Arabidopsis thaliana: one gene and its partner. The protein of the gene in region 1 purifies or fractionates together with the protein of each later gene. This does not show direct contact. Each region holds a gene or a part of one and is shown on either strand. Other genes may lie near its edges. The genes, in order: SPR1 and TUA4.

Region 1 (3,996 bases):
TCTTGCAACGGTTATGTTGGAGCAGATTTGGAAGCTTTATGTCGTGAAGCGACAATATCTGCAAGTAAAAGATCTTCAGATTCTCTTATTCTAACATCTCAAGACTTCAAGATTGCAAAATCTGTGGTTGGTCCAAGTATAAACAGAGGCATCACAGTTGAAATCCCTAAAGTGACATGGGACGATGTTGGTGGTCTTAAAGACTTAAAGGTCAATACTTTTTAAAAATATTCATTTTGCACTTTGTTGTCCTGTTTTCTCCATTGCGATTAATGGTTTTTTTTTCCTTGTGACAGAAAAAGCTCCAGCAAGCTGTTGAATGGCCAATCAAACATTCAGCTGCATTTGTAAAAATGGGCATATCGCCAATGCGTGGGATACTTCTACATGGTCCTCCAGGTTGCTCAAAGACAACTCTTGCTAAAGCCGCTGCAAATGCTGCTCAAGCCTCCTTCTTTTCCTTAAGGTATAGATTTTGATAGATCACATTTAACAAAATCCCCCTTTGGTTGTGAAACTTGTTTAAAGAAACTTATTTTTTCTTGTGTCTTTGTGTGGGTGTGCGATGCAGCTGTGCGGAGCTATTTTCTATGTATGTTGGAGAAGGTGAAGCATTATTGCGGAATACATTTCAAAGAGCTCGACTTGCTTCTCCAAGTATAATATTCTTTGATGAAGCTGATGTCGTTGCCTGTAAAAGGTTTGTCTCTATCTCTCCCAACTCTTGCTTCGTGTTATAGACTCTTCTTAACATGTTTATTTCCTTGGGTCTTCGTAGAGGTGATGAGAGCTCAAGCAATAGTTCTACAGTTGGAGAAAGGCTTCTATCTACACTGTTAACCGAAATGGACGGTCTTGAAGAAGCAAAGGTAAACAAAAGCTCATAGGCTTTTAAAGATTTTATCTTTGTTATTGGGTTGCAATGATATTGATCGGGTTTTGGTTTAAGGGAATCCTCGTCTTGGCTGCCACAAACCGCCCGTATGCAATTGATGCTGCTCTAATGCGACCTGGTCGATTTGATCTCGTAAGTCCTCATATTGGATCTTTTGATCACACGAGTTCTGAAATAGCAAACCTCATTGCTACCCTCTTCTTGATTTAGGTGCTATACGTGCCACCGCCTGATCTAGAAGCCCGGTTTGAAATACTGCAAGTGCATACACGCAACATGACACTAGGAGACGACGTTGATCTCAGAAAAATCGCTGAAGAAACCGATCTCTTCACAGGTGCCGAGCTCGAGGGTCTATGCAGAGAAAGCGGAACTGTCTCACTTAGAGAAAACATCGCAGCAACCGCTGTCTTCAATCGCCATTTCCAAACCGCAAAAAGCTCGCTTAAACCAGCGTTAACAATCGAAGAAGTCGAAACTTATTCATCATTCAGGAAGGCGGCGAAAAGATCTGATTCGAAACCGATTCCGATTAACAAAAAGAAGGCGACTTCCACCGTCTTCGGATTCTCATGGCAATTAGGTGTTTTGAGCTTATTGTTGCTTGCTACTGGAAACTATTACTTCAACCACACTAAACATGAATTACTAGTAGCTTCTGCTACATGAGACTTGAAACAGCTCAAAGTTAAAAAAAGTTGCTAATTTTGTTTTATTCATAAATACCAAAATATCTTTTGTTTCAAAGTTCAAATTTTTAAATAATAAAACGGCTAATGATTATTAGATTCGAACAATGACAAAGATTGGCCATTACACATGAATGGCCCACGAACCTCACCACCGTCGTGAAATTTCTTTAAGCACCAATAATTTCACTGGTTATCTCTTACTAATTAATTACTTTTTACGTGTTCTAATCCAAATCAACAATAATTATCTGATATTTCTTCATAAACCGGTTTTGGAATTTAGCTGAAAGATGTGAATTTTATTTTGTCTTATTAATCAAAAAATTTGAAATCGTTTTGATTTCAATTAAACCGGAACCCTGACACTAACAAAAACCGGTCTGAGCTTATAAATAGAGTGGCTCGCTGATGACTCAGTTAGTCAGCTCCGAGTCTGCGTTTTACTTCTTCTCCTTGAGTTTCTTCTTCTAGATCTGATCGCGAATCACCAAAAGGTTTGTTTCTTAACCCCTAAAATTCCTCCAGATCGCTTTGATTTCGTTTCTCTGATGTCTTAGACGAAGTTAGATCGTAGATTCCTATGTTTTGATTCCTCGATCATGCTTCGAATTATGGTGTTTTTATCCTCAATTTTTGGAGATTTGGTTTCTACGGATTTTGTAGATTCAGGAATTTAGAAATGGTGATTCGATTTCAATGGTTTTAGATCTGATTCAGTCTTCACTCTTGTTCCACTATTTTGAAAATTGGCTAAAAACTAGGTTTCGTCGTCTAATTCTCCCGACGTTCTTCGAGAAATGTGAACTTTGAGGTGAAGATTTTGCGTTAGCATATGTGGTTTTGTATAATTGACGTTGCTACTATTCTGATTGTGAATTTTAAGCAGCATTCACAATTGAATTGAGTCTTCACTTTGTTCAGCTCTGAATCTATCATCTCTGAATGTTGGCAAGTTATAGTTTCTTATTATATTTCGGTGTTTTGGTTTGTTGTGCTAGGTTTTATTTTATACAATGGGTCGTGGAAACAGCTGTGGTGGAGGTCAAAGCTCATTGGATTATCTCTTTGGTGGTGACGCTCCTGCTCCTAAGCCAGTTCCAGCTCCTCGTCCCGCTCCTACTGAGTCTAACAACGGACCTGCACCACCAGTAACAGCTGTGACTGCAACCGCACTCACGACTGCTACTACTTCTGTTGAGCCTGCAGAGCTTAACAAGCAGATTCCTGCTGGTATCAAAACTCCTGTTAACAACTATGCCAGAGCTGAAGGACAGAACACCGGCAACTTCCTCACTGTACGTTTTCGTGTCCGTTTTACTCGAATACCCGTGAATCGAAATGGTAATGATACTCACTCACTCTCTCCCTTTCTCTGTCTATCTCTGCAGGACCGTCCTTCGACCAAAGTTCACGCAGCTCCGGGAGGAGGATCATCCTTGGATTATCTCTTCACTGGTGGCAAGTAAAATAATTGCAAAGACCTTTATCTATCCATTGTCTTTGCTGCGTTATCTCACTATGAAACTGTTTGATGTGAGCCTTTAAATGATAAGAAGTCGGTTTCTTGTCTCAACTCTTATCTGTAATATTTTGCTGAAAAAATGTTTGAATCAAAAACTTCCCAACTTGTCTCTTATTAACCATCAAATGCGAGTACAACTTTTAATCCAATCCACTACACATTTATAAGAGATTTGGCATAACTAAGTGATTCGAAAACAGATTAAACTAGAACCGTCATTTAGGATGTTGAGGAGCAGGGATGATTCCCCATTTTCTACGAACTTGCTCCAAGTCTTCACTAAAGTGACGCTCATAGTACACACACATGAGGTCAGTGCATTGTCTTCCAGCACGAACAGCCCAAGGAAGGTAATGCTTCAAGAACATTGATCTTTGCTTCTCGTTGAACCTCACAGTACCTCCAATCACAGAGAGCATACACATCGGAAGATACATTTGCTCAAACTCGATAACTTTCAAAGACGACTCGCCGATAAGATTCGTAGGAAGGCCAAACAGAGTGTGCCATAAGTCGTGAACTTCGCGTGCCCGTGTCGCTACGTAAGCCAATTCATCCGTCTCCATGAATCTTACGGGCGGACGATCATCGGGAGAGAAGTTTCTAGATCCCATGAATTTAGCATATGCAGCTCCAAATGTGTTTTCTGGTAGATCCCAAGCATGACCTACTTGCTCTGACACAACTCGAGGACGCTCCAATAATATAGCCTTCAAAGTAAAGATACCACCAAAGATCAAAACACCATTGCTTACTCAACAATATAACCAACATCAAGTAAAAATGTTAATCAATTTAACATCACTCATTGCTTACTCCAGAATTACTAAATCGAACAATTTCTAAATCAATCATTCTTAAGCAAAATCAATGATTTGATCAACAAT
Region 2 (5,159 bases), on another chromosome or scaffold:
GTCAAGCGTACACATCCAGACATACCCTTTTTCTCCGGTGAATCATCGTTTGCGCGTTCTAATCAGGTAACCTTTTTGTGTTCTCATCAGCAAATTTTCACCTATTTTTGATTAATCAAAGCTCAGTGACATTTCGATTTACATGTCTAGGAATCTATGAAGAATATATTACTTGTATTTGCGAAGTTAAACCAAGGCATCAGATATGTTCAAGGGATGAACGAAATTTTAGCACCTATCTTTTATGTATTCCGTAACGACCCTGATGAAGATAGTTCAGTAAGTAGACTCTTTTTGTTTCGGTGATACCCTTTAACCAACTTTCAATGATAACGTACACAGTTTTAAGGTAACAGTGCTAGTCTGGACCCTCAATAATTTCAAGATATGCGTTCCTTTGAAGTAAAAGCTCAAGACTGTTTTACTAAATGATGTGTCACAGAGTTACAAATAAAAAAGAACCCCGTAATCTATTAGTATGAATCTGACCTCTCTGTCTAATTTTCTTAGAAGATTGGTTCGTGTATGATCTTTTTTCTTCAACCTTGTTTTTCTTCTTCTCAGCTTCAATCAATTTCATATTAACTCTTTTCAAAATATGCAGTCCCATGCTGAAGCAGATGCATTCTTTTGCTTTGTTGAATTGTTGAGTGGATTTCGAGACTTCTACTGTCAACAACTCGACAATAGTGTGGTGGGAATCCGATCTGCAATTACGAGGCTCTCACAACTTGTGAGGAAGCATGATGAGGAACTGTGGCGTCATCTAGAGATCACCACGAAAGTAAGACATTGGTTTTTTCTTTCTCTCATGTCTTTTTGTTGTGACAACAACCATATTTGTCATTCTACTACTATAGTCCTAATGATCTGCTTTGTGCGGAAGATAAATTCCAATGATCCCCTCAGCTTACTTTGTATTCTTGTTCTCCTATCCATAACATAATAACAGTGGATTGGATCCTCTGAGATTGAGACTGACATTGTATAGATTCTTTGATTACAGGTAAATCCACAGTTCTATGCATTTAGGTGGATCACTCTCCTCCTAACACAAGAGTTTAGTTTCTTTGACAGTCTTCACATATGGGATGCACTCTTAAGCGACCCTGAAGGTCCGCTGGTAAGATCGTAATATCTTCTCCTTGATGCATACCCGAAATCAAATCGATAGATGCAGAAGTCACATTAGTTTACTGTTCCACTCATTTGCTTGATTAAAGAAGACCCGGTCTGTATCGTATTGTTGCAGGAAAGCTTACTGGGGATATGTTGTGCGATGCTGGTACTGGTGAGGAGGAGGCTAATCGCTGGGGATTTCACGTCGAATATGAAGTTACTTCAACACTATCCAACTACAAACATCAGTCATCTCTTGTATGTAGCCAATAAACTTCGTTCCAAAATGTTAGTATAAATCCTTTTGTTGGTTTTTTCTAGCTTTTGATTAAACCAACTTTTAGTTGCCCCCATTACAATATACAAAGCGTTTTTGTTTTGTTTTTATATTTTACTGTTTAAATGGCAAGACATGTTTGTTTGTTACGTTATCGTTTTGGAGATTTTCTCGGAAATCATGAATGCAAACAAAATGTGGTTGTTACTTGTCCTCCGATTTCAGTCTTAGAAGCCATATGAGGTTCTTGGAGAATCATTCTCCTCCTCCAAAACGTACATATGCCAAAACTCAGAGCCTTGACCACTTGCACTTCCACCCTGTAATGATTTACACAAAAGAGAAGCTTGATATTACCATTTCAGGCAAAAAAAAGTACAAGAATATTTATGACCAATACGGTGGTACCGAAATCATCTCCACTACAGCTGCTGGAGCTCGAAGCTCCGATTTTGGTTCAGTTCTTATCATTTCGGTTTACTGTTGACTTTGGTCTTTAGCAGGTTCAAATCGAATTAAATTTCGGTTAAGTTCCACGCAATTCAAGGGAATTTTGCAGCTTCAAAAATAAGAGAAACGGTCACAAAACGAGCAAAAATTCAAAATTAGAAAATACGCAGCTCACGAGTATCGTGATATTAACAACAACCCAATTACATCATTACACGTGTCGTTATATACAGATGGGTACTTTCGTTTATAAATACACATCAAACGCCTTACTAAAAACCTAGAAATAGAAAAATCAGATCTAGATTCAGTTTTTTTCATCAAAAAAGAGCGTCTTCATAAACGCCCTTCGTCTTCTTCCCTGGAAATCTAGTTTCTTTCTTCCACGAAAATGAGAGAGTGCATTTCGATCCACATTGGTCAGGCTGGTATCCAGGTCGGAAATGCTTGCTGGGAGCTGTACTGTCTTGAACATGGCATTCAGGTTCGTATCTAGATCTGTGCTTCTTCTATATTTTTCGTAATTTTATAATTCAGATCTGAGATAATTTGGCCATGCATTGACCTTGTTCTCCGGATTTCTGATGAATTCGTATATATTTAGTACGTAATTGTTTAGATCTGTGTTTGATTCCGATGTCTTACAATTTTTTTATGTGGTTTATGTAAGATCCGTTTCTCATTTTAGAAATATTTTTGACATACCTGTTTAGATCTGAGTTTGACATAGATTTCTTGTTGGTTGATTCAAGATCTGTTCGTTGAACAAAAAAAATATTCTAGGTTTGTTTAGAAGATGCAAATCGATCTATTTCCCATATACTTAAGCTTCTATATGCTTAGTGCATACTGTATGAGTTTGTATTGATATGTTTTGGATCTGGAATGTTACAGCCTGATGGCCAGATGCCGAGTGACAAGACTGTTGGTGGAGGTGACGATGCTTTCAACACCTTCTTCAGTGAAACCGGTGCAGGTAAGCACGTCCCACGTGCTGTCTTTGTTGATCTTGAGCCAACTGTGATCGACGAGGTCAGGACTGGTACTTACCGTCAGCTTTTCCACCCTGAACAACTCATCAGCGGTAAAGAAGATGCAGCTAACAATTTCGCCCGTGGTCATTACACCATTGGGAAAGAGATTGTTGACCTGTGCTTAGACCGTATCAGAAAGCTTGCTGATAACTGTACTGGTCTCCAAGGATTCCTCGTCTTCAACGCTGTTGGTGGAGGGACTGGATCTGGTCTTGGATCTCTCCTCCTTGAGAGACTTTCTGTTGACTACGGGAAAAAGTCCAAGTTGGGTTTCACAGTTTACCCATCTCCACAGGTCTCTACCTCCGTTGTTGAGCCTTACAACAGTGTCCTCTCCACTCACTCTCTCTTGGAACACACTGATGTCTCCATCCTCCTCGACAATGAAGCTATCTATGACATCTGCAGACGCTCCCTAAGCATTGAGAGACCAACCTACACCAACCTCAACCGCCTCGTCTCTCAGGTATTGTAGCCAGCCTCAACCAGTCTTTTTGCTGTTACATTTTCTTGGGCTCATCTAATGTTATTTTCCTATTTTGTTTTCAGGTTATTTCTTCCTTGACTGCTTCTCTGAGGTTTGATGGTGCCTTAAATGTTGATGTCACTGAGTTCCAAACCAACTTGGTCCCATACCCAAGAATCCACTTCATGCTTTCCTCCTATGCCCCAGTCATCTCCGCAGAGAAAGCCTTCCATGAGCAACTCTCAGTTGCTGAGATCACAAACAGTGCTTTTGAGCCAGCTTCCATGATGGCTAAGTGTGACCCACGTCACGGAAAGTACATGGCTTGCTGTTTGATGTACCGTGGTGATGTTGTCCCCAAGGATGTAAACGCAGCTGTTGGCACCATCAAGACCAAGCGCACTATTCAGTTTGTTGACTGGTGTCCTACTGGATTCAAGTGTGGTATCAACTACCAGCCACCAACAGTTGTTCCAGGAGGTGATCTTGCTAAAGTCCAGAGAGCTGTTTGCATGATCTCAAACTCGACCAGTGTTGCTGAGGTGTTCTCCCGTATTGATCACAAGTTTGATCTTATGTACGCCAAACGTGCTTTCGTTCACTGGTATGTGGGTGAGGGTATGGAAGAAGGAGAATTCTCAGAGGCACGTGAGGATCTTGCAGCATTGGAGAAGGATTATGAAGAGGTCGGTGCTGAAGGTGGTGACGATGAAGATGATGAAGGAGAGGAATACTAAGAAGAATGTTTCTAAAAACTTTGGATTTGTGTGGGTTTCTCTATAATCTCGTCTTGTGAGAATGGGCTCAAAACTCTTGGGAGTCTTTAATCGTGTGTGTTTTAAAACCTACTTCTCTATCTTTTCGTAGCCATGTTATCTCTCTATTATCTATTTCCTTTGTGTGTTAAATCGTTTCTGCCTTTCTGGTAATATCTTATCACTACTATCAAAACTACAAGGGTTATTTGAAGGCATGGAAAAAATTCATGAGATGTTATATATTTTGCATTTTGACCTAAGCATGATGATACTTTGGGATTCTTGAGAAATATGTGGCAGTGAGGATATAGCAGATAAATTTATGTAGTAAGATACTCTCTGATCAAAGTATCTAATCAAAGTCTATCTGATTAAATTAGCGTGTTGAATAAGAAAATGTGTATTAGTCTAACCTTAATTGGATACAGTTGTTGCTGCGGTTGGAACAACTGTATATGGGCTTTATATTTTATAAGGTCTATAAACATAAAACTAAAACAAAAATGGGCTCACTAAAGAAGGCCGGACAAGGTTAATCAGATAGAAGGCCAGTTACGTTTTTATTAGTAAAAAAACGCCCACACGCGCCCAGTTTATTAATTTTAGCGAAAAACGGCAGTTTTCCCAGTCTTATACGCGCTTAGTATGCGAGTGGGTAAGATATTTTCATTTGACAGTTCGCCTACCACGCGCCTCACTCATGGGCTCACTTTTATTCTGCCCATTGGGCTACAAGGAGCGTAATATAATTGACCCACATAAATTAAAAAAGGCCTACTAGCATAAACAAACTATTTTGACCCAAAATCGACAACCTGAGATTTTTATTTTTCCCCGACTGAACAATGTGGTTAAATTTTTGCAATGATTTTTATCTAATTTCCCCTAGAAAAATCATACAAGCATTAACCTTTACTTTTTTTCTTTTTTTTTGGTATATAGCATTAATCTTTACTTAGGGAAAAATGATAGTTGTTTACCATTTCTGCTCTTAGTAATATATAGATTTAAAGAAACTACTAACACAAGAACAAGTCGGAACCAATGCAATAAGT

The links.
Region 2: the proteins of SPR1 (region 1) and TUA4 purify together in Arabidopsis thaliana (affinity purification with western blotting, with the first as the bait; one study listed by BioGRID). This does not show direct contact.

Annotation. Positions count from the first base shown.
Region 1 is NC_003071.7:1,118,798-1,122,793, forward strand, and holds SPR1 (spiral1), read left to right. Parts: upstream 1-1,989; 5' UTR 1,990-2,081; intron 2,082-2,105; exon of another isoform or gene 2,106-2,585; 5' UTR 2,586-2,600; coding exon 2,601-2,882; intron 2,883-2,975; coding exon 2,976-3,053; 3' UTR 3,054-3,258; downstream 3,259-3,996. Other genes in the region: CDC48B (cell division cycle 48B), read left to right, coding at 1-210, 297-466, 572-700, 779-869, 950-1,027, 1,106-1,564; AT2G03690 (coenzyme Q biosynthesis Coq4 family protein / ubiquinone biosynthesis Coq4 family protein), read right to left, coding at 3,325-3,819. UniProt on the Arabidopsis thaliana protein: Required for directional control of cell elongation. Stabilizes growing ends of cortical microtubules and influences their dynamic properties.
Region 2 is NC_003070.9:1,355,345-1,360,503, reverse strand, and holds TUA4 (tubulin alpha-4 chain), read left to right. Parts: upstream 1-1,956; 5' UTR 1,957-2,237; coding exon 2,238-2,330; intron 2,331-2,740; coding exon 2,741-3,346; intron 3,347-3,429; coding exon 3,430-4,083; 3' UTR 4,084-4,420; downstream 4,421-5,159. Other genes in the region: AT1G04830 (Ypt/Rab-GAP domain of gyp1p superfamily protein), read left to right, coding at 1-66, 151-279, 605-784, 1,007-1,123, 1,253-1,377, 1,650-1,722. UniProt on the Arabidopsis thaliana protein: Tubulin is the major constituent of microtubules, a cylinder consisting of laterally associated linear protofilaments composed of alpha- and beta-tubulin heterodimers.